Linked DNA regions of Lonchura striata. The protein of the gene in region 3 binds, or shares a complex with, the protein of the main gene of each other region. Links are inferred from orthologs where the notes say so. Each region holds a gene or a part of one and is shown on either strand. Other genes may lie near its edges. The genes, in order: MCM2, SSRP1 and SUPT16H.

The links.
Region 1: the proteins of SUPT16H (region 3) and MCM2 are in contact, whole or in part, in a crystal structure (PDB 8YJF), measured with the Homo sapiens proteins. The link is inferred for Lonchura striata from reciprocal best matches to the Homo sapiens genes SUPT16H and MCM2. Residues at the interface, in NP_009123.1 of Homo sapiens: Gln898, Ser899, Leu900, Asn901, Lys904; in NP_004517.2 of Homo sapiens: Ile73, Gly74, Asp75, Met77, Tyr81.
Region 2: SUPT16H (region 3) and SSRP1 share a complex: the UniProt entries of both Homo sapiens proteins name them as parts of the FACT complex. The link is inferred for Lonchura striata from reciprocal best matches to the Homo sapiens genes SUPT16H and SSRP1.

Annotation. Positions count from the first base shown.
Region 1 is NC_134614.1:13,489,409-13,496,453, reverse strand, and holds the start of MCM2 (DNA replication licensing factor MCM2), read left to right. Parts: upstream 1-3,990; 5' UTR 3,991-4,039; coding exon 4,040-4,045; intron 4,046-4,512; coding exon 4,513-4,700; intron 4,701-5,239; coding exon 5,240-5,415; intron 5,416-6,035; coding exon 6,036-6,299; intron 6,300-7,045. UniProt on the Homo sapiens protein: Acts as a component of the MCM2-7 complex (MCM complex) which is the replicative helicase essential for 'once per cell cycle' DNA replication initiation and elongation in eukaryotic cells.
Region 2 is NC_134608.1:53,181,353-53,188,254, reverse strand, and holds the start of SSRP1 (FACT complex subunit SSRP1), read left to right. Parts: upstream 1-3,816; 5' UTR 3,817-3,902; intron 3,903-4,369; 5' UTR 4,370-4,472; coding exon 4,473-4,526; intron 4,527-4,734; coding exon 4,735-4,920; intron 4,921-5,096; coding exon 5,097-5,202; intron 5,203-5,670; coding exon 5,671-5,861; intron 5,862-5,928; coding exon 5,929-6,159; intron 6,160-6,247; coding exon 6,248-6,351; intron 6,352-6,459; coding exon 6,460-6,588; intron 6,589-6,747; coding exon 6,748-6,902. Other genes in the region: P2RX3 (P2X purinoceptor 3), read right to left, coding at 20-150, 728-869, 1,067-1,144, 1,224-1,317, 1,577-1,643, 1,715-1,786, 1,885-2,020, 2,836-2,975. UniProt on the Homo sapiens protein: Component of the FACT complex, a general chromatin factor that acts to reorganize nucleosomes. The FACT complex is involved in multiple processes that require DNA as a template such as mRNA elongation, DNA replication and DNA repair.
Region 3 is NC_134641.1:1,210,491-1,217,792, forward strand, and holds the start of SUPT16H (FACT complex subunit SPT16), read right to left. Parts: upstream 3,045-7,302; 5' UTR 2,995-3,044; coding exon 2,929-2,994; intron 1,362-2,928; coding exon 1,269-1,361; intron 1-1,268. Other genes in the region: chromodomain-helicase-DNA-binding protein 8, read right to left, coding at 6,878-7,069. UniProt on the Homo sapiens protein: Component of the FACT complex, a general chromatin factor that acts to reorganize nucleosomes. The FACT complex is involved in multiple processes that require DNA as a template such as mRNA elongation, DNA replication and DNA repair.

The DNA.
Region 1 (7,045 bases), on a different chromosome or scaffold from region 3:
GTCGGGAGGCGGGACTAAGGGGGCGGGTCCGCCGCGCTTTAAAGGCGCCTTGTCCCGCACACACCCGCGGGTCACCAGCCCGGCGTGGAGCGGTGGCGGCGGGCAGGGAGGCGACCCTGGGGCCGGCGGTCTCGGCTCGGCCCGTGCAGGGCAGGTTCTGTCCTTCCAGCCCGATCCCAGCCCCGGCCCGGCTCGGTTCGGCTCTGTCCTTCCAGCCCGATCCCAGCCCGGCTCGGCCCGCACAGCCCAGCATCCCACCCGACGAGGAGCGCTCTGCCGCCCTGCTCCCACCGCCACGCTCCTAAACTCACACTGCTCCGCGGGAATTCCGTACGGCCGCTGGATGCAGGGCAGGGCGGTTAATCATTGAGGGAGATCCGATAATAAGTTCCTGCAGGGAGGGATGATTAACAACCTGTGAGTTCGGCTTTTAAGGAGAGTTCAAAGCTGGCTGAAGAAACTTGAAGTAGCTTGGACAACAGCTGCTAAAGGGAAACGCCATCGATAATTAGCAGGATTTTGAGGTGCAAATGCCAGACAGGCTAAAGAGACGCTCAGTATCGTAAACAAGGAAGTAACTGTGGCAAAACAGCCAAGATTTATTTAGGAAATTAAAGGAAATAACCAGCTAAGCACCGGCACGTTATTCTCAGCAGTAAGAGCTGGCGGACAGGGAAGTTTCAAGGAGGATGTTTCTTATCCGAGTCACTGCAAGGACTGGAGTTCTGAAACTCATTCTGGCATGAGTTTCTACCTGTGGCTGTAGGGTTTGCTTCTGTAGGAATGCAAGGCTTTTGCTACCCTGAAGTTTCTGTTCAGAGCCTACAACTCTTTACAAGAGCCCTACCTTGGTGAAGTTTGCATGTTCTGCTCTAGCAAACACCGTAACCAGAGGGTTCCAGGCCCTCCTCACACACAGATAGATCTTCCTCAGCTTAAATCTGCTTGATCCTCTTCTTAGGTCAAATTTTCCAGCTGCTCCTCAGCAAGCCTCATGAAGGGTTTGTACCTGGGGACTTGCCTGCCTCAGCCCTGTTCTTCTGATTTTCCACTGGGTTGGAACAGGTTTTCATGCTGGTGTCATGCCTTTGGAATGACATCTGGAGAAGCCAGTCCTTAGCTTGTCTCATTTCACACTGTCGTTCAGGTTAATGATATGTTGCAATATTTTGACACGTTCCATTTATGGATCCAAGCTGACACCAAGATCTCTGAGTTACAGAAAGGACAATTCTGTTTAGAGAGAGGTGGAGTGTTTCTGCCTAAAAAGTGTCTTGGTAACAGACAAGTAAAATCCATGTCTTCTCACTTGTAGCCTCAGGCACTAACTAGTTGAATGTGTTACCTCCCACATAACTGTGTCAGAAGGAGAGATTTTGCTTTCCAATCCACCTGCTTTTCCCATCTGATTCCATCTGAGGCTAGAGCCCAGTATTTGGGACACCAGATCCAAAAGCTGTTTCATGGTCAGGAGACTGCTGGGTGCCACTGCAAGGACCATGACACTTTAGCTCCTGCCTTCCTCACCTTGCTTCTGTCAAACAGGAGGTGGGGCATCCACACTTACTGTTCCTCTGAATTACCCAGCCTTGCCTGTCAGCCACCACATGGTGTGGCAAACATAACTCCCCTCTTCCCCCCTCCAAGGACTGCTCCATGTCCTTAACTCTATGCATCCTTCCTTCCATTCCAGCTGAGCACTGCTGCTCTGTGCATCATCTCCTCCATCCAGTGCTTAAAGACAGCAGGGGTCACTCCTTTGTCCTCGCTGTGCCACCTGGTGCTGCTGGGCTGAAGCAGGACAAGAGGTGATGTTCAGCAGCCTTGAAACAACCCTGGGGGCCCCACAGAAAGCTGGCACCTGTTGCTGTACCTGCTGCAGCCTGCTGTGCTGTGGCAGTCTCACCTGCCTTGCAGGCATCAGAGGTAGAAGATGCAGACATGGTGTCCAGGACAGCATTACAGTCCATGTAGTCAACAAATTCCACTCTTCTGAGACATTTTATCTCTCTCAAATACTCTTTCAGCTTTTATTAGATCAGACTACTGAACAGGATATTACTTCTCATCTGAAACTGCTGTGCTGTACAGGTGCTGTACAGGGACAGATGTGCCTGTCTTGTTTCAGAGCTGTTCTACCAGCCTACTGATTTCTAGTGTTGGGCATAAATTTGCACCACAGGATACTACCTGGACTGCACTCCTGTGTTTCTGCCCCTTTTCTTTCAAGGGGAATTCATTCACTAGGGCTATTCCTGTGCTGCAAGAAGCCACGAGTCTGCAAAATCCTAGTGGTATGTTTGGATATTCAAGAGTTTGGTACTCAGGTGAGGTCACCCCAGTGAGCAGCCTGGGCCCCATCTGCATCTCAGCCCTTTCACATACCCAGTCCATGTCTCTAGTGTAGTAGAAGGAGCCCTGTTCCATACATGGCAGCAACCTGATTTTAGGGGTGGTTTCTGCTGCCCAAGCTCAGCTCTTGTCAAAGAGACAGAGCACCCCAGCTCAAGAATAGGACCACTTGTAGGTGGCACCCAAAGTTAGCCGTGAAAACATGGACGTGGTGTGTGTTCTTCCAGGAAGGACAGACAGAAAATCTGTCTGTCTATCCAGCTGTCTGGTGCCTGGAGAGACAGTGGCACCCTGTGGTGACACTGGCTCATCACAGTGTGTCATCTGGGCCTTGTCAGACAGCTCCACCTCAGCCAGGTCTCGGGCTACCTTCCCTTAAGCCATAGAATCATTTGGGTTGGAAGACTGGACATTAGGAAAGAATTCTTCATTGGAATGGTGCTCAAGCATTGAATAGGCTTCCCAATGAGGTGGTGGATTCGCTGTCCCTGGAAGTGTTCCAAAACCATGGAGATGTGATGTTTAGAGACATGTTTTAGTGGTGGACTTGGCAGGGCTGGATTAACAGCTGGACTCCATGACCTTGAGGATCTTTTCCAACCTTCATGGTTCTGTGATTTTGTGACCTCTAAGATCATCAAGCCCACGGTGGTCTCTGGAAACCTACAAGTGGGGGCATCCTGGGGGTGTCTCTGTGTTTGTTTCGCTCCAAGCACCAGCCAGATCCCTGTCATGTGTCACAGAGAAGAGGCTGAGCCACTCTCCTATTTATATCATGATGCTCCTGCTTTGCTATATTAGTACCAGCCTGAATCATCCAGCTGGGCTCCTGGAAGATCCATTTCAGATTGTCAGCTGCCTCTTCAGTCACTTTTGCTTCTGGTGTCTCCTGTTTCAGGGTCATTGTCTCACACCCGAGTCCAGCCAAGAGCAGAAATAGCTTGATACTAAACAGTGGTCAGAGACCCTTCAGAGAATGCAGATCTCCAAAATCCAAACCACCTGCTGTCACGCAAGACCCTGTGGCCTGGAAGGAAGCATTCCATCTCCTTGCTAAACATCAGCCTGTTGCTTGTCTCTCTAAATTCCTCTGCCAATCTCTATGGGACGGGTGCTCTTCTTCAGTTCCTCTCATTAATGGCATTTGCTTGCTGCACTGAACAGCTGGAGAGACAGATGTGTCTGCCCTGTTACTTCCAGCACATAGAGGCTTGCATTAAAAAAAAAAAAAAAAAAAAAAATTAAAAACCAAACAGATAAACAAACCCACCCCCCCAAAACCACAAAATGCCAGAACCTCCTTCCCACGTCTTGTAGTTCCAGCGAGAATCAGAACAAAGATGATTGAACGGGTCAGTGGCAAACCCTGTCCAGCAAGGCTTGATTTTAGCTCCCAAAGAGGCAGCCGTGAGCACGGGAATTCACGGCGGGATCTCTCCCGTCACTCGGGTTCGCGGGAGGAGGAGATCCCTCAAGCCCAGAGGGAAATGTTTGCCAAAGTTTGCCAGTGCCGCCCGAGCCCCCTTGGTCGCTGTGGGTGGCGGGGGGTGGCGCTGGGTCCCGCCCCCGCTCATGCATATTCACAATCAGGCCCGCCCCTGTATCCATTATTCATGAGGTTTCGCGCGCTTTCGGGACCACGTGGTTTGGTTTTCGCGCGGAATCGGCGGCGCGGGAAGCGGCGGCCATGGCGGTGAGTGGCCGTGCCGGGCCGGGCCGAGCTGGGCTAGGCTAGGCTAGGCTAGGGGAGGGGAGCCGTTCATTTGGGGTGCAGCCCCGCGGTGCGGGGCTCGGGTTCTCCCCGCTGCCGGACACTTGGCGCTGCGGCTGTGCGGGGTCCAGAGAGGATTTTGAGTGGGGGGGCACAGTGGGGGCGCGCCTGGCGGTTCTCCCGAAACGCCGAGGGAATTTTCCTGCATGCCCGGCGCCGCAGAGGAGAGAGCCGGGGCGGGGCAGGGTCGGACCCTTTCACTCCAGTCCGGCTGCGCTGCGAGGATGGATTTACCCCCATCTCTCCCCCCCACACACAAATATGTTTCCATATTGCGAGGAGGGCTAATTATTATAACTCACGGTGATCCATATGGCAGAGGCCCCTGGAGGCACTAGCCCCGCTCTCTCCTGCGGCCCCCTGCCCTCACCTCCCTGCCGTCCTTGCAGGACTCCTCCGAGTCGCAGGCAGCGGTGACCAGCCCCGTGCGCAGCTCCCGCCGCGGCGATGCCTTCACGTCCAGCCCCGGTCGGGACCTGCCCCCCTTCGAGGATGAGTCCGAAGGGCTCCTGGGGACCGAGGGGCTCCCCGAGGAGGAGGAAGAAGGAGAAGAGCTCATTGGGGAAGGGATGGAAAGGTAAGAAAATCGTTCGGAGGGTTGTGTCCGGTGATGGGGTGCTGGGGATGGCAGTGCAGCCAGCGACCTGGAGGGAGATCTCAGGCCTTGTGGGATCCTCTGCTGTGCTGGCAGCTGTGGGGAGGGTGCTGAAGAGCTGCTGGGCAATGGAGAAAGGTAAGAGTATAATGTCACTTGAGTTCTGTGAGAACTGAGCAAAGTGCCATCATGGTCCCGGGTGGGTAAACCAGGATCTGCCTGGATGTGTGATGTGCATTCAGCCCAGCTCTTTGCTTCTGCAGGTGTGAATTTTGATGTTTTACTCAGCAAGGTCTGCCGGCAAGCTGAACTTTACCAAAGGCTTGGATGCTGACATTCCTAAGCATGGTGCTGGAGCCCGTTTACTGCAGGGCATCTTCCACTGGGAAGTGCCTTCCTGCTCAGCAGCGTTCTGTCATGCTGCAGAACAGCTGTCCTGACACCTGCCCAGGAGTAGCTGGAGAAGGGCTGCAGAATTGCTTTCCTGGCCTGATTCCCTGCTCTGTGTGTGTGTGTGCTAGGGACTATCGCCCCATCCCAGAGCTGGATGTGTACGAAGCAGAGGGCCTGGCCCTGGACGATGAAGATGTGGAGGAGCTGACTGCCAGCCAGCGGGAAGCTGCCGAGCGAGTGATGAGGCAGCGGGACCGAGAGCTGGGGCAGGGCATGGGCCGCATGAGGAGAGGGCTGCTCTACGGTAGGTGCAGGGAGCTGTACCTTCCTGTGTGCCTGATAGTAACCTGGCCCTCAGAGGGAGCTGGGCTCTCTACTCTCAGGTTAGTAGGGAGGTCTCTAGAGCTCCAGTGTGCCTGGGCTCTTAATGAAATCACTGGCTGTGGGCTTGCCTGGGTTCTCCAGTGCAGGATCCCTTTCCTTTGGGTTTCCTAGGAGCTCATTTGGTGTCCTTCTGGTCACTGCTGAAACAAATTTAGGATCTTGGGCCTGTGTCAAAGGGTTGGGATTCTACCAAGCTGTGCGGTAGAGTTTGTTGGTGTTGATGCTCCTGTACAGACTTCTGTGGGCTGATGGAAGTGTCTTCGATGCACTTTCAAACTCATTCCTTGGTCAGTGCATTAATAGACTTGAATGTGTGCTGTTGCATACAAATCTTCAAATTCACACCCTTAAAGTCTTGGCTATCTTGTGGAAGATGTAGGAGCAAGTCTAGAACTGGATTTAGGCTGGACCTGGAATGTCTCTTGGTTTGTGAGGCTGTGACCTCTTCACTTCCACAGCCTATACAGTCCCACTGTGACTAATCCATAGAGTGGGAATGGGAATCCCAGCTCTTGAGCAGTTTTTCCTCTCACCCCTTAGACAGTGATGATGAGGATGAAGACCGTCCTGCACGGAAGAGGCGGCTGGCGGAGCGTGCTGCCGAAGGCGTGGAAGAGGAGGATGAGGACATGATTGAGAGCATTGAGAACCTGGAGGACATGAAAGGGCACTCAGTGAGGGAGTGGGTTTCCATGGCAGCGCCCCGGCTTGAGATCTATCACCGCTTCAAGAACTTCCTGAAGACCCACGTGGACGACCATGGGCACAATGTCTTCAAGGAGAGGATCAGTGACATGTGCAAAGGTAGGGCTGGGTCATTGGAGGCTCTCTCTTTCTTTATGTGGGTCATGGTACTTTGTGGTGATCCAGTACAGAGGTGGATATTTTGCTGCTCTCTTTGTTCCAGACATTGAATCAGCATTTCAAGAAAGCTTGATGCTGATGGAGATAAATGAATAATGGAAACATGTCTACTGTCTTCTTTGATTCTGGCTGACTAATTAGAAGTCCCCTGGCATCTGCTCCTCATTAATATTCATTTCGTAGAAATGCTAGCAGAAGAATATGCGGGGCAGCAGACAGTGGTCTGCAAGTTTGTGATCTGAAAGAGACAACAATTGCTTGCTGTCTGCATCAGTTACTTTCTCACACTGGAAACTGCATTATCCAGCAAGGGGACACAAATAGACCTTGTGACTTTGGAAACTGTGTCAGTGTTGCAGCCTTGTATTCTGACTAGGCACTGCCAGAAGAAACGGTCATTAAGGCTGTCATTGATGAGTTTTAAAAGCAGAATTTGTCACATCTAGGAACAGCTCATGTAGCTGTACTTGTTGTATTTCTTCTTTATATTGAACAGAAGCTTGAGCAGTGGAACAGGATCAATTTTGTAAAGCTAGGAAATAAAAGGCATTTGTCTCATCCATTTCCACAAACATAAGACACAGGAGGTTTTTTGCCAACCATTCAGCATACATAATGTCTCTCCTATTAACTTCTGTTTCCTGGAGGTCTCTGAGAGAGTTGTGTATTGGGCTGAGGCTTTTGAA
Region 2 (6,902 bases), on a different chromosome or scaffold from region 3:
TGCCGTGTCCTGGCCATACCTGAAGTTGTATCCAGGGGCAGGGGTCCGGGCCAGGCTGTCCAGGCGGGTGAAGGAGTAGTGGGGCAGGCAGCGCTCCCAGGCCCGGTCCAGGTCACACACCCACCCGATCTTGATTCCCAGCACCCCCCCCTGCCCCAGCCCCACATCAGCACCACGGACCCTGGCCCCGCGGCACCAAGTCCCCACAGTTTCACAGTTCTGCATCCCATGGCCCTATGCTCCATGTCCTATGAGCCCACATCCCGCATTCTCGTCTCCCCAAACTCCACATCCCCCTGCACCTCATGTCTCAAATCTCCATGTCTGTACACCCCATGTCCCAGTGTCACACATCCCAACCCCCATCCATGTTCCTGTGTCAAAGCCCCACATCATCACTCAGTGTCCCGTTTTCCCGTATCCCTATGTCCTGTTCCCAACATCCCTCATCCCTGCATCCCATGTCCCCATGTTATGCGAGCCCATGTCCCCATCTTCCATGTCCACATCCATCACCCCATATTCCCCCCATCCTATGTCCCCATGTCCCACATCCCATGTGGGATGTGTCCCCAAGTCCCATGTCCTCAAGTCCCACATCCCATGTCTCTGTGTCCCCAGCCCCCATATCCCTATGCCCTTATATCCCAGCTGCTTGTACCCCTATGTCCCCACACACACCCCATTCCCACCCCGTGCCTCCCATGTCCCCTGTGTCCCCGCTCACGGTGGCAGCCAGCGCAGGGAAGTCCTGCCCAGCCAGACGTGCCACGTCCCCCAGGCGCAGGATGGGGCACAGGGGCTGCAGCTGTGGGTGGAAGCGACACCGGCCCAGCTCCACCCCACTGCCAGGGGGTGGCAGGTTGGTCCTGGGGACACAGGGGGACACAGGGGACACGCAGGGATGTGCCATCAGGCAGCAGTCTGGGGTTCATGGACCCACATCCCAATGTCCCCCCACCATCTTGTGCCTGTGTCCTCATGTCCCCTGTCCCCATGTCCCTGTGTTACCCCATCCCTTGTCCTCATGTCCTGCCGTGTTCCCCCTGTGTCTTGTGCCACTCACTTCTCAAAGCCAAAGAGCGGGAAGCGGACGCTGTTCTTGATGAGGAGGGTGAAGTTCTCAGCTTCCAGCATGACGGGGCTAGAGGAGGGGGGTGATGCTGAAGACAGGCAGGGGCCATGTCCCCTGCTCCTCCCCGTGTCCCCCCAGCCCCACTTACACATCAACGGTGTCCACCTCGGGCGGGCACCAGCCCTGGATCTCGCAGGTGCGCAGGGTCGTGTTGTAGGGGACGCAGCGCCCTGTCAGCACCCCTGGGACCCCCGGACTGCTGTCAGCACCTCTGCCAGCACCCCCGAGATCCCAGACCCCCATCAGCACCCCTGGGACCCCCAGACTGCTGTCAGCACCCCTGGGACCCCCGGACCCCCATTGGCACTCCTGGGACCCTGAACCCCCGGCTTCCCGGGCCCCCCTCAGCCCCTTGAGCCCACCGAGGGTCCCTCACTCCTGGTGGTGGCTCCCCCCGGTCCCTCGGCCCCCTCAGCCCCCGTTCCCACCGGGGTCCCTCACCGTTGCTCGTGGCCGGGCTCAGCTCCCGGCAGTCCCGGTCCGCCGAGCAGTGGAACGCGGCTTCGCTCTGCGGGGCGGGGGTCAGCGGACAGGGGGCTCATCGAGGGGTCCCCCCGAGCGCCCCCTGCCCCTCCGCACCTCCGGGCACACGCCCTGCGCCTGGTCCTCGGTCCGGATCTGCTTGGTGACCACCACGAACACCGAGGTGCCCTGCGGGACGTCGCTGTCACACGACCCGCCCGGGGGTGGGGAACTGAGGCGGGGGTGGCCCCGCGCCCCTCAGCGACCCCTCCGGTCCCCGTCCTCACCTGGGGGGGTGTGACATAGTCGGCTGTGTCCATCACCTGCCCCGCGTAGCGACCCACGCCCTTCACCTTGGTGACCACGGAGGACTCGATGGCGGTGTCCCGCACCTGGTACGCTTTCTCATGGAGGAACACCCAGCTGGGACAGCACCGCGGGTGACGCTGGGGACAGCCATCCCCGGACACCACCGGCACCCCCCGGGCCCCGCCGGCCTCCCCCGGCACCCCCCGGACCTGCCCGTGACCCCCGGCCCCCGGAGCTGTCAGCGCCAGCGGCTGCCGATCCCCGACAGATTCTTGTCATCCCCTCGCCAGTGGCTGCTGTCACTCCTCGGGAGCATCCAGGGACAGGGACCCCAACGCGGGTCATCCCCTTCTGTCATCCCCTGGGGCCGAGCGGCTTCTCTGCCGCTCGGTGTCACCCACACTGTCCCTTTCCCGTCATCCACCCGAGATGCTGTCCCCCTTGTGTCACCCGTAACGACACCTTGCTGTCCCCATCATGTCACCTGCGCTGCCACCCTCCCGTCACCCGCACCGGCACGCTCTCTGGCTGTCCCCCTTCTGTCACCCGCACCGATATCCTCTGTCCCGCCTTGTCAGCCGGTACACTCCCCTGGCTGTCCCCATCGTGTCACCCGCTCCGGCACACCTGAATTCCCGGCACTGACACTTTGTCACCCGCTCTCCCGTCCGTCCCCTGCTCCATCACCCCCTGGCCACCCCGTCACCCCGCGCCGCCGGCCGGTGTCCCCTCGCTGTGACCCCGCTGCCACACGCCGCCATCCCCCATCACCCTTGTCACCCCCGGTGTCACCTGCAGCAGCAAGTGGCAGTCACGGCGCTGCCGCGGTGCCGGGAAGGGGGCTCGGGGTTGTGTCCCGGGGGACGTGCCGGGGCGGGGTGTCCCAGGGGTGCCCGCCGGTTGTCCCGGCGGCTGCCAGGGGGGCTCACCCGATGAAGTAGGCGAGGATGAGGAGCTGGACGCCGCGGTTGACGACGCCCACCACCCAGCTCTTCACCACCACCGACTTGGTGGTCTCGTAGGAGAAGAAGTTGCTCACCCAGCGGGTGCTGGACCGCGGGAGGGACATGGGCAGCGCGGGGGGCGGCCGGAGACGGGGTTACGGGCAGGGCAAGGCAGGGCTGCGGGCAGGGCAAGGCAGGCAGGGCTGCGGGAACCCAGTGGGATGCGGGAAGGGCAGGGCAGGGGTGCGGGCAGTGAGGGGGATGCGGGCAGGGCAGGGCGCGCTTGGGTGCAGGCAGGGGTACCGGCAGGGGCACGGGCAGGGTGCGGGTATCGGCAGGGTGTAGGCAGCACCCGCAGGGGTGCGGGTAGCGAGGGCGGTGCGGGCGGGCGGAGGCGGGGGTAGGGCGGGGGCCGGGGGCGGGGGCACGGCCCGGGGGGACGGGAGGGGTCGCTCCCCCGTTCCTGGAGGGATGGAGGGGCGCAGGCGGGGACATTCCCCGGGGTGCCTGTGATGGGGAGCGCCAAAGGGGGGACACATTCCGGCAGCGGGGAGCCCCACATTGGGGTGCACGTGGGTGGTGCGCCCCAAACTGGGAACGCCTGGTTTGGGGGGGACACCCCTGCAGAGGGGAGTGCGAGGGGGCGGCCCGTGCGCGGGTTCCGGGGGTGCCCCGCTCTGGGCCGCCCCATTGTCCGGTTCCGACACTTTGGGGCGCCCCGGCTTTGGGGCGGGGGGGTTGTCCCCACATGAGGTGACGTCACGGGGCTCGCCCCGTGCTGGCCAATGGGGTCTCTCCCCACGCCTGGTTCTGGGCGGGGCAAAGCGGCGAGGGGCGGGGTCTCGGACGCGGTGACCACGCCCCCTAGGTGGGCGGGGCCGCCCGCGGCGCGGCGGGGAGCGCCGCACGGGTCCGCCCCGCCGCCAGGGGGCGCCAGCGCGGCCCGGCGCCATGGCGGAAACCCGCGCGACTTCCGGCGTTGGCGGCCCCGCGCGGTTCGCGCTGCGCAGGCGGGAAAAGCGGCGGCGGCGGCGGCGGCGCGGGGGGGCCGGGTGGGTGTACCGGGGCTCGGGGCCGGCCGGATCCCGCGGGGGGCCGGGTGGGTGTACCGGGGCTCGGGGCCGGCTGGGGCACCCGGAGTCATGGCAGGCCGGCTGGGATGGGGGAGCGGCCTGGGGTGGAAGTGGGCTGGGGGTCGCTGGGGAGGCCCGGGAACGCCTGGGAGCCCCGGCTCGGCAGGAGTTTGTGGGTGCGGGGGTGGTTTGGGGTGGCCTCATCAGGGAGGGGAAGGGCAGGGGTGATGACACAGCGGTGGCCGAGGGCTGCAGGAAGGGGCGGCTTTGGGACCACGGCACAGCCGGGGAAGGGGCGAGTTGTGCCGGGGGTCGCCCCCGTCAGTGAGCCAGGTGCCACCACGAGAGGCAGCCTGCGGGGCTGAGGCGGTGAGGTTTGGTTTTGGGGGCGCTGGGGAGGGCCGGGAGCCTGTCGCCAGCCCGGCTCACCCCCTGTCCTCCCGCAGCTGCCGTGACTGACTCCTCTGCCGTTGCCCCGGGCATGCCGGGCTCGGGGGGCTGCTGAACCCCCCGACTCATCCCCGTCCCCTCCCATAGCCCGCAGCCGCCATGGCTGATACGCTGGAGTTCAACGAGATCTACCAGGAGGTGAAGGGCTCCATGGTAAGCGAGAGAACATGGGGATGGCCCTAGGGGCACTTCCAGCGTTGGGTGTGGATGGGGGAAGTGAATGCTCTGTGATGAGGAGGGTGTGGGAGATGAAATTGTGGCTGGTTGGTGGTGTGGGTGCCTGGAGGGGCGCACCCAACAGGGCCATGGTTCCTCTATGCTTCCATGGGACTGAGTCCCCTCATGCCCAGCTCTCCCACAGAATGATGGGCGGCTGCGGCTGAGCCGGCAGGGCGTCATCTTCAAGAACAGCAAGACAGGGAAGGTGGACAACATCCAGGCCTCAGAGCTGGCTGAGGGTGTGTGGCGGCGCGTGGCACTGGGCCACGGCCTCAAGCTGCTCACCAAGAACGGCCACGTCTACAAGTATGACGGGTTCCGGGAGTCGGTGAGTCCCTGTTCCCTGCTCCTGCTGCCCTGGCCCTGTTCCAGATCCAGTTGTGCTCCCTGCCAGCCCCAGAACAGCCCTGCCCCCTGCATCCCCATGGCCAGGGGCTGTGTGTCACCTGGGGCACTGGGCACTGCTGGTTCCTGACGGTGTTGCCTCCCTCTTGCCCAACCCAGGAATTTGACAAGCTGTCAGATTTCTTCAAGGCCCACTATTGCCTGGAGCTCGCAGAGAAGGATCTGTGTGTGAAGGGCTGGAACTGGGGCACAGTGAGGTTTGGAGGTGAGTTCCAGTGGCACCCCAAAGGCGTGGGGTGGGATGTTCCCACCAGTGTGTGGCTGTTCTGCTGCCACATCCATTCCCTTAGGAGCAGCTGCTTTCTAGGGATGTCCTCAGGGAAAGTGAGGACATTTGCCATCTCAGGAGAGCCCTGAATACCAGGGGGCCATGCTTGGTGTGGAATCTGCACATGTGTGCCGTTCACCAGGGAGCCAGGGGAGCTGGCGGATGTGCCTCCAGCTAAGGGACCGGGACAGATGGGGTCAGACAGTTCCTTTTTTTGTGTTTCTGATCGGTGCCAATTTCCAGGGATGCTGCTGGAAGGGAGAAAGCCTGGAGCTTTTGGAGGGTGGGAATGCAGTGATGAGAACAGAGGCACTGCTGGATTTTGGGAGAGGAGCGAGGCCGTGGCTGGAGATGGGATTTGTGGGGCACAGCTCTGGGCTGGCTGTGATGTCCCTGTCCCCACAGGGCAGCTGCTGTCCTTCGACATCGGGGAGCAGCCGGTGTTCGAGATCCCGCTCAGCAACGTGTCCCAGTGCACCACAGGCAAGAACGAGGTGACGCTGGAGTTCCACCAGAACGATGACGCCGAGGTCTCACTCATGGAGGTCCGGTTCTACGTGCCCCCCACCCAGGAGGATGGTGTGGACCCCGTGGAGGTACGTGGGGCCGGCAGGAGGGTGGGGGTTGGCAGCGAGGGACCCTTTGTGACCGCTTCCCTGGCAGGCCTTCGCCCAGAACGTGCTGTCCAAGGCGGACGTGATCCAGGCCACCGGAGACGCCATCTGCATCTTCCGGGAGCTGCAGTGTCTGACGCCGCGCGGGCGCTACGACATCCGCATCTACCCCACCTTCCTGCACCTGCACGGCAAGACCTTCGACTACAAGATCCCCTACACCACCGTGCTGCGCCTCTTCCTGCTCCCGCACAAGGACCAGCGCCAGATGTTCTTCGTGGTGAGTGGGAATGGCTCAGCCCTCCCCCAGAAGGGCATTGGGGGTGGTTTGGGGGGTTTCGTGTCTTCACCTCCTCTTCTCTTTCCAGATCAGCCTGGACCCCCCGATAAAGCAAGGCCAGACCCGCTACCACTTCCTGATCCTGCTCTTCTCCAAGGATGAGGACATCTCCCTGACCCTCAACATGAATGAGTGAGCTGCCTGATGCCACACTGCTTCCCAGACCCCTTGCTGGATCCTGAGGGAGCTACTTACACCCCAGACCCTGTTCTCACCTCTGCCCTCCTTCCCGCCTCACAGGGAGGAGGTGGAGAAGCGCTTTGAGGGGCGGCTCACCAAGAACATGTCCGGGTCCCTCTACGAGATGGTCAGCCGGGTGATGAAGGCACTGGTGAACCGCAAGATCACCGTGCCCGGAAACTTCCAGGGGTGAGCAGCTGCAGGGCTAGTCCCTCTCTTTCCACCTCGTCCTCATGGCCTGAGGGAAGGGGCTGTCTGTGTGATTTGTGCTGGGGAGCAGGGCCAGTCTGCCAGGGCTGGGCACGGGGAGGATGTTTGTCCCCATGGATAGAAGCGTTTGTCCTGCAGACACTCCGGAGCCCAGTGCATCACCTGCTCCTACAAGGCCAGCTCAGGGCTGTTGTACCCGCTGGAGAGGGGCTTCATCTACGTGCACAAGCCCCCCGTGCACATCCGCTTCGACGAGATCTCCTTCGTCAACTTCGCCCGCGGCACCACCACCA
Region 3 (7,302 bases):
ACGGCTGGGAAACACCAAAAACTGACCAAGGAAACCCAAAAAGAGACAAAGAAACCCCAAAAGAGACCAAAAAAACCCAAAAAGAAGAAAAGAAACCCCAAAATGGACCAGGAAAACCCCAAAAGGAACAAAAAAACCTCAAAATGGATCAAGGACACCCCAAAATGGACAAAAAAAACCAAAAAGGGACAAAGAAACCCAAAAATGGATCATGAAAACCCCAAAAAGGAACAAAAAACCCAAAATGGAACCAAGAAACCCCAAAAAGGAACAAAAAAACCCAAAAAGGAACAAAAAAAAACCAAAAAGGAACAAAAAACCCCAAAAAGGAACCAAGAAACCCCAAAATTAACAAAAATCCCCAAAATTTATGAGGAAAACCCCGAAAGGAACCAGACAAAAATGATGGGAAAGTCCCCAAAAGCAGGAGAGAAACCCCAAAAATGGGGGAATTTACCCCAAAATGGGGAAATTTGCCCCAAAATGGGGGATTTACCCCAAAAATAGGAAATCTAGCTAAAACTGAGAGAATTCAGCCAAAAATGGGGAAATTTATCCTAAAATGGGGGAATTTACCCCAAAAATGGGGGATTTACCCCAAAATGGGGGGGATTTATCCCAAAAATGGAGGATTTTACCCCAAAAATGGGGGATTTACTCCAAAAATGGGGGATTTATCCCAAAATTGGGGGATTTATCCCAAAATTGGGGGGATTTACCTCAAAAATGGGGGATTTACTTTAAAATTGGGAGATTTACCCAAAAAATGGGGGATTTATCCCAAAAAATGAGAAAATTCATCCAAAATTGAGAAAATTTTCCCAAAAATGAAGGGATGCCCCTAAAAATGATAAAATTCAGCCCAAACTGGGAGAATTTGCCCAAAAATGAGAAAATGTACCCAAAAATGAAACCAAAAGGGATTTTGGGGGTTTTCTCAGGAATTTCGGGGTTTTCCTCATGATTTTGGTTTTTTTCCCAGAATTTCGGGATTTTTCACACAGATTTTGGGGTTTTCCTCACGATTTTGTTTTTTTCCCCAAGATTTCAGGATTTTTAAATTTTTCACCAACATTTTTGGAGTTTTCCTCACGAACTTCAAGTTTTTCCTCATGATTTTGTTTTTTTCCCAGGATTTTGGGATTTTACACTGAGATTTTTGGGGTTTTTCTCAGGAATTTCGGGCTTTTCCTCAGGATTTGGGTTTTTTTCCCAGAATTCAGGATTTTCCCCCCAGATTTTAGTTTATTTTCTGTTTTTTTGCCCACCTGCAGCGCCGTGGACTTGGCGTAGACGATCTCCTCGTCCACGCCCACGGCCACCACGATGGCGTCGACGCCGCCGAACTCATCCTCGCCTTTCTGTGGGGCAGGAGACCCAAAATCAGCCAAATTCACCCCAAAATCACCCCTGCAGCAGCCCCAAATTCACCCCAAAATATCCCTGCAACAACCCCGAATTTACCCCAAATTTACCCCAAAATTTCCCCAACACTGACACCGCCAAACTCATCTTTGCCTTTCTGGGGGCAGGCGACCCAAAATCACCCAAATTCACCCCAAAAATTCCCAATTGGCACCCCCAAATTCACCCAAAAAATTCCCCTGAAGCAGCCCCAAATTCACCCCAAAAATTCCTCTGCAGAAACCCCAAATTTACCCCAAAATATCCTCCATCAGCAACCCCAAATTCACCCAATTTCACCCCAAAAAATCCCCTGCAGGAACCCTGAATCCACCCAAAAAAATCCCCTACAGGAGCTCCAAATTCACCCAATTTCACCCCAAAAAATCCCCTACACCAGCCCCAAATTCACCCCCAAAAATCCCCTGCAGCAGCCCCAAATTCCACAAAATTCACCCCAAATTCACTCCAAACCCTCAACATTCCCTCAGCCCCCCCAGATTTCCCTAAACCCCCCAAATTTACCTCAAATGCCCCAAATTCACCCCAAATCCCCCGAATTCACCTCAACCCCTCCAAATTCACCCCAAAACCCCCAAATTCACCTCAAACTGCCAAAAATTTAAACCAAATTCACCCCAAAACCCCCAAACCCCCTCAGGCCCCCCAAATTTACCCCAAACCTACAAAATCCCCCTCAAATTTACCTCAAACTCCCTAAATTTACCCCAAACCCCCCAAATTCACCCCAAACCCCCTAAATTCCCCTCAAACCCCCCAAATCCCACAAATTCATCCCAAATCCCCCTCAAGCCCCCCAAATTTACCCCAAACCACCCAAATCCCCCAAATTTACCCCAAACCCCCCAAATTTACCCCAAACCCCCCAAGTTTCCCTCAAACCCCCTCAAATCTCCCAAATTTCCCTCAAATCCCCCAAATTTCCCTCAACCCCCCCTCAAACCCCCCAAATTTACCCCAAACCCCCCAAATCCACCCCAAATCCCCCTCAAATCCCCCAAATTTCCCTCAAATCCCCCAAATTTCCCTCAAATCCCCCAAATTCCCCTCAAACCCCCTGAAATCCCCCAAATTCCCCTCAAATCCCCCTCAAAGCCCCCAAATTCACCTCAAATCCCCCAAATTTCCCTCAACCCCCCCAAATTTACCCCAAACCCCCCAAATCCCCCTGAAATCCCCCAAGTTTCCCTCAACCCCCCCTCAAACTCCCCAAATTTACCCCCAAACCCCCTCAAACGCCCCAAATTTACCCCAAACCCCCCAAATCCACCCCAAATCCCCCCCAAACCCCCCAAGTTCCCCCCAAACCCCCTCAAACCGCCCAAATCCCCCTGAAATCCCCCAAGTTCCCCTCAAACCCCCCAAATTTCTCTCAAAGCCCCTGAAATCCCCCAAGTTCCCCTCAAACCCCCCCAAATTCCCCTCAAACCGCCCAAATCCCCCTGAAATCCCCCAAGTTCCCCCCAACCCCCCCCCAGCCCCCTCCCCCCGCCCCTCCCCCACCTGCCAGCTGGCGTAGAGCCGCCGCAGCCGCCGCGCGAAGGCCTCGCGGTCCAGGCTCAGCGCCATCAGCGGCCCGGCCGCGGCCCCGCCGGAGCCGGGCGGGGAACCGCCGGGGCGGGGCGGGACCTTCCTCCGCTCGGCCGCCTCCTCCTCCTCCTCCTCCTCCTCCTCCTCCTCCGCCGCCGCCGCTGCCGCTGCCGCCCGTGCCGCGCCGCGGCGCCCGCCGGAAGCGCCGCCTGAGGCGACTTCCGCTTCCGGTGCGCGCGCGAAGGGCGGGAGGCGGAGGAGGAGACGGTGAGGGAGGGGAAAAGAGCGGCCGGGGAGGGGAAAGGGGGAGTTTGGATGAGAAAAAGGAGGAGGAAAATGGGGGGAAAGGGGAAAAAACACACAAAAAAACAAACAAAAAAACAAACAAATGCGGGTGAAATCGGTGAGGGGGGGGAAAAGGAACGGGGGGTCACGTGACGGCGGAGAGGCGGGAAAAGGGGAGCGCGGGGCGCCGGCGTCACGTGACCGCCCCCCCCTCGCGCCTGCGGAGGGGAAAAGGCGGGAAAAGGGGCGGGGCCAGAGGGGTCACGTGATGGGGAGGGAGAAATGGAGGAGGAGAAATGGAGGAGAGGGAGAGAAATGGAGAGGGAGAGAAATGGAGAGGGAGAGAAATGGGGAGGGAGAGAGAGATGGGGAGGGAGAGAGAGATGGGGAGGGAGAGAGAGATGGGGAGGGAGAGGAGCGGAAAGGAAATGGGGAGAGGGAGATGGAGACAGAAATGGAGAGGGAGAGGAAAGGGAGGGAGAAATGGAGAGGGAGAGAGGGAGATGGAGGAGGAGAGAGTGAGGGAGAGAAATGGAGAGGGAGATGGGGAGGGAGATGGAGGGGAAAGGAAATGAGGGAGATGGAGACAGAGAGAAATGGAGAGGGAGAGAGGGAGATGGAGGAGGAGAGAGTGAGGGAGAGAAATGGAGAGGGAGATGGGGAGGGAGATGGAGGGGAAAGGAAATGAGGGAGATGGAGACAGAGAGAGAAATGGAGAGGGAGAGGAAATGGAGAGGGAGGGAGGGGAGGGGAAAGGAAATGGAGAGAGGGAGATGGAGAGGGAGGAGGAGAGAGGGAGAGGGAGATGGAGAGAGGAAAATGGAGGGGGAGATGGAGGAGGAGGGAGATGGAGAGGGAGAGAAAGGAGGGAAATGGAGATGGGAAGAGGGAGATGGAGACAGGGAGAGATGGAAATGGGAGATGGAGGAGGAGGAGAGGGAGAGAAATGGAGAGGGAGATGGAGAAGGAAATAGGGAGAGGGAGGGAGATGGAGGGGGAGAGGACAGAGAGCACCAAAACGAGGCAAAAATACAGAAAAAACAGAAAAAAATACCCAAAGGAAAAAAAGAAAAAAAAAAACCCAAAAAAGAAACAAAAGAAAAACAAAAAACACCAAATAAAAAATAACCAAACAAAATGGAAGAAAAAAGCCCGAGAAAAGTTTTTAAGAAACCCCAAGGAAGTAAAAAAAATGAAAAAAAAAAAAAACTATGAAAATTTAAAAGGATGAGAAAAAATGTAAAAAGCCTTAAGAAATGTGGAAAGATGAGAAAAAACAAAAAGGCCTGAAAAAAATTAACAAAAAACACCCCCCAAAAAAAACCCCAGCAAACAAAAAAAACACCTTTAAAAAAACCCAAAATAACAAAAACAAAAAAAGGAAAAAAAGCAAAACCCCTCCAAAAAATTAAAAAAGAAAACAAAAAAAAAAAACCACCAAAAAATTCTTTAAAAACTCCGAAAAACACCAAAAAATACCCACAAAAAAAAATTTAAAAAACCCCCAAAAAACGTAAAAAACTGAAAAAACGCCAAAAAAAAAGAAAAAAAAACCCTCTAAAAAAATTTACAAAAAAACCCAAAAAAACCCCAGCAAACAAACAAAAAAAACCTTGAACCCCCTCTCCAAAAAAAAACCTCACAAAAAACTGGGACAAAAAAAACCAACAAAAAAAACTCTGAAAAATTTTATAAAAAACCCCAAAACCCCCAAAAAACCCAAAAAAATAAACCGGAAAAAAAAAACTAAAAACCAAAGCAAGAAAAAAACAAAGCAGGAAAATCCTGAGGGGGAGACGTGAGAGCGGGGATCGTTAATTACCAATTAATTCATTAATTAATTGGGGTGGCTATCGGGGGGCGGGACAAACGAAGGGAGGCCAGGGAGGAGATTAATTAATGAGGAGGTTAATGAGAAGGGTAATGAGGAGCTTAATTAATGAGGAGGTTAATGAGAAGGGTAATGAGGAGGTTAATAAGGAGGTTAATTAATGAGGAGGTTAATAAAGAGGTTAATTAATGAGGAGGGTAATGAGGAGGTTAAAGAATGAGGAGGTTAATTAGGGGGGTAATGAGGAGGGTAATTAATGAGGAGGTTAATTAATGAGGAGAGTAATAAGGAGGGAAATGAGGAAGTTAATGAAGTTAATTAATGATGAGGGTAATTAGGAGGTTAATGGGGAGATTAATGAGAAACGTAATGAGGTTAATGAGGAGGTTAATTAATGAGGGTAATGAGGAGGTTAATTAGGAGGTTAATTAATGAGGAGGGTAATGAGGAGGTTCATTAACGAGGAGGGTAATGAGTCGGTTCATTAATGAGGAGGGTAATGAGGAGGTTAATTAATGAGGAGGGTAATGAGATAGTTAATTAAGAGGTTAATTAACGAGGAGGGTAATGAGAAGGGTAATGAGGTGGTTAATGAGGAGGGTAATTAACAAGGAGGGTAATGAGGAGGTGAATTAACGAGGAGGTTAATTAACAAGGAGGGTAATGAGGAGGTGAATTAACGAGGAGGTTAATTAACAAGGAGGGTAGTGAGGAGGTGAATTAATGAAGAGGTTAATGAGGAGGGTAATTAATGAGGAGGGTAATTAACGAGGGTAATGAGGAGGGTAATTAATGAGGGTAATTAACAAGGAGGGTAATGAGGAGGTTAATGAGGTTAATTAATGACGAGGTTAATGAGGAGGGTAATTAATGAGGGTAATTAACAAGGAGGGTAATGAGGAGGTGAATTAACGAGGAGGTGAATTAATGAAGAGGTTAATGAGGAGGGTAATTAATGAGGAGGTTAATTAACGAGGAGGTTAATGAGGAGGGTAATTAACGAGGAGGGTAATTAACGAGGAGGGTAATGAGGAGGGTAATTAATGAGGAGGGTAATTAACAAGGAGGGTAATGAGGAGGTGAATTAACGAGGAGGTGAATTAATGAAGAGGTTAATGAGGAGGGTAATTAACGAGGAGGGTAATTAACGAGGAGGGTAATGAGGAGGTGAATTAATGAAGAGGTTAATGAGGAGGGTAATTAATGAGGAGGGTAATTAACGAGGAGGGTAATGAGGAGGGTAATTAATGAGGAGGGTAATTAACGAGGAGGGTAATGAGGAGGTTAATGAGGTTAATTAATGACGAGGTTAATGAGGAGGGTAATTAATGAGGAGGGTAATTAACAAGGAGGGTAATGAGGAGGTGAATTAACGAGGAGGGTAATTAACGAGGAGGTTAATGAGGAGGGTAATTAACGAGGAGGGTAATTAACGAGGAGGGTAATGAGGAGGGTAATTAATGAGGAGGGTAATTAGGAGGGTAATTAACGAGGAGAGTAATTAACAAGGAGGGTAATGAGGAGGGTAATTAACGAGGAGGTTAATTAACAAGGAGGGTAATGAGGAGGGTAATTAACGAGGAGGCTAATTAACAAGGAGGTTAATAAGGAGGCTCATTAATGACGAGGTTACCGCCGCCGTTACCTAACGAGCAGTCCAGCTAATTACCGTTTAATTAGGCACCAGAGCACGCCCCGCTGCGTTTCCAACCTTTTATTAAAAAACAACCCCCGAAGCCCCGCCCCCGGCCCCGCCCCACGACACAGACACTTTACATATTTATAAATATTCATCAGGGGGCGGGGCTACTCCGAGTCCGAGGCGGGCGCCAGCATGGGGTCGGCCAGCAGGGGGCAGCAAGCACTTCCGGTCTGCCCCGCCGCCTCTTCCGGCGCCGGCCGGAAGTGAGGGGGCGTGGCCAGCGCCGCCGGGGCCACGCCCCCCATGAGCGCCGCCATCTTGGAGAGGTCCAGGGCTGGGGGCGGGGCGGGCAGGCACTGGGGGGAAAGTAATTAGAGCCGGGAGTTAATGAGCTGGCCGTGGAAAATAGTTCAGTTCCTAATTAGGATGGGTCATTAGTGAATTGGAAATTGAAAAATGTTAAATTGGGAGTTAAAATGGGTAATTAGGGAATTGGAAATTGAAAATAGATAAATTCCTAATTAGGATGGGTAATTAGTGAATTCGTAATTGAGAATAGTTCAGTTCTTAATTAGAGCCGGGAGTTAAT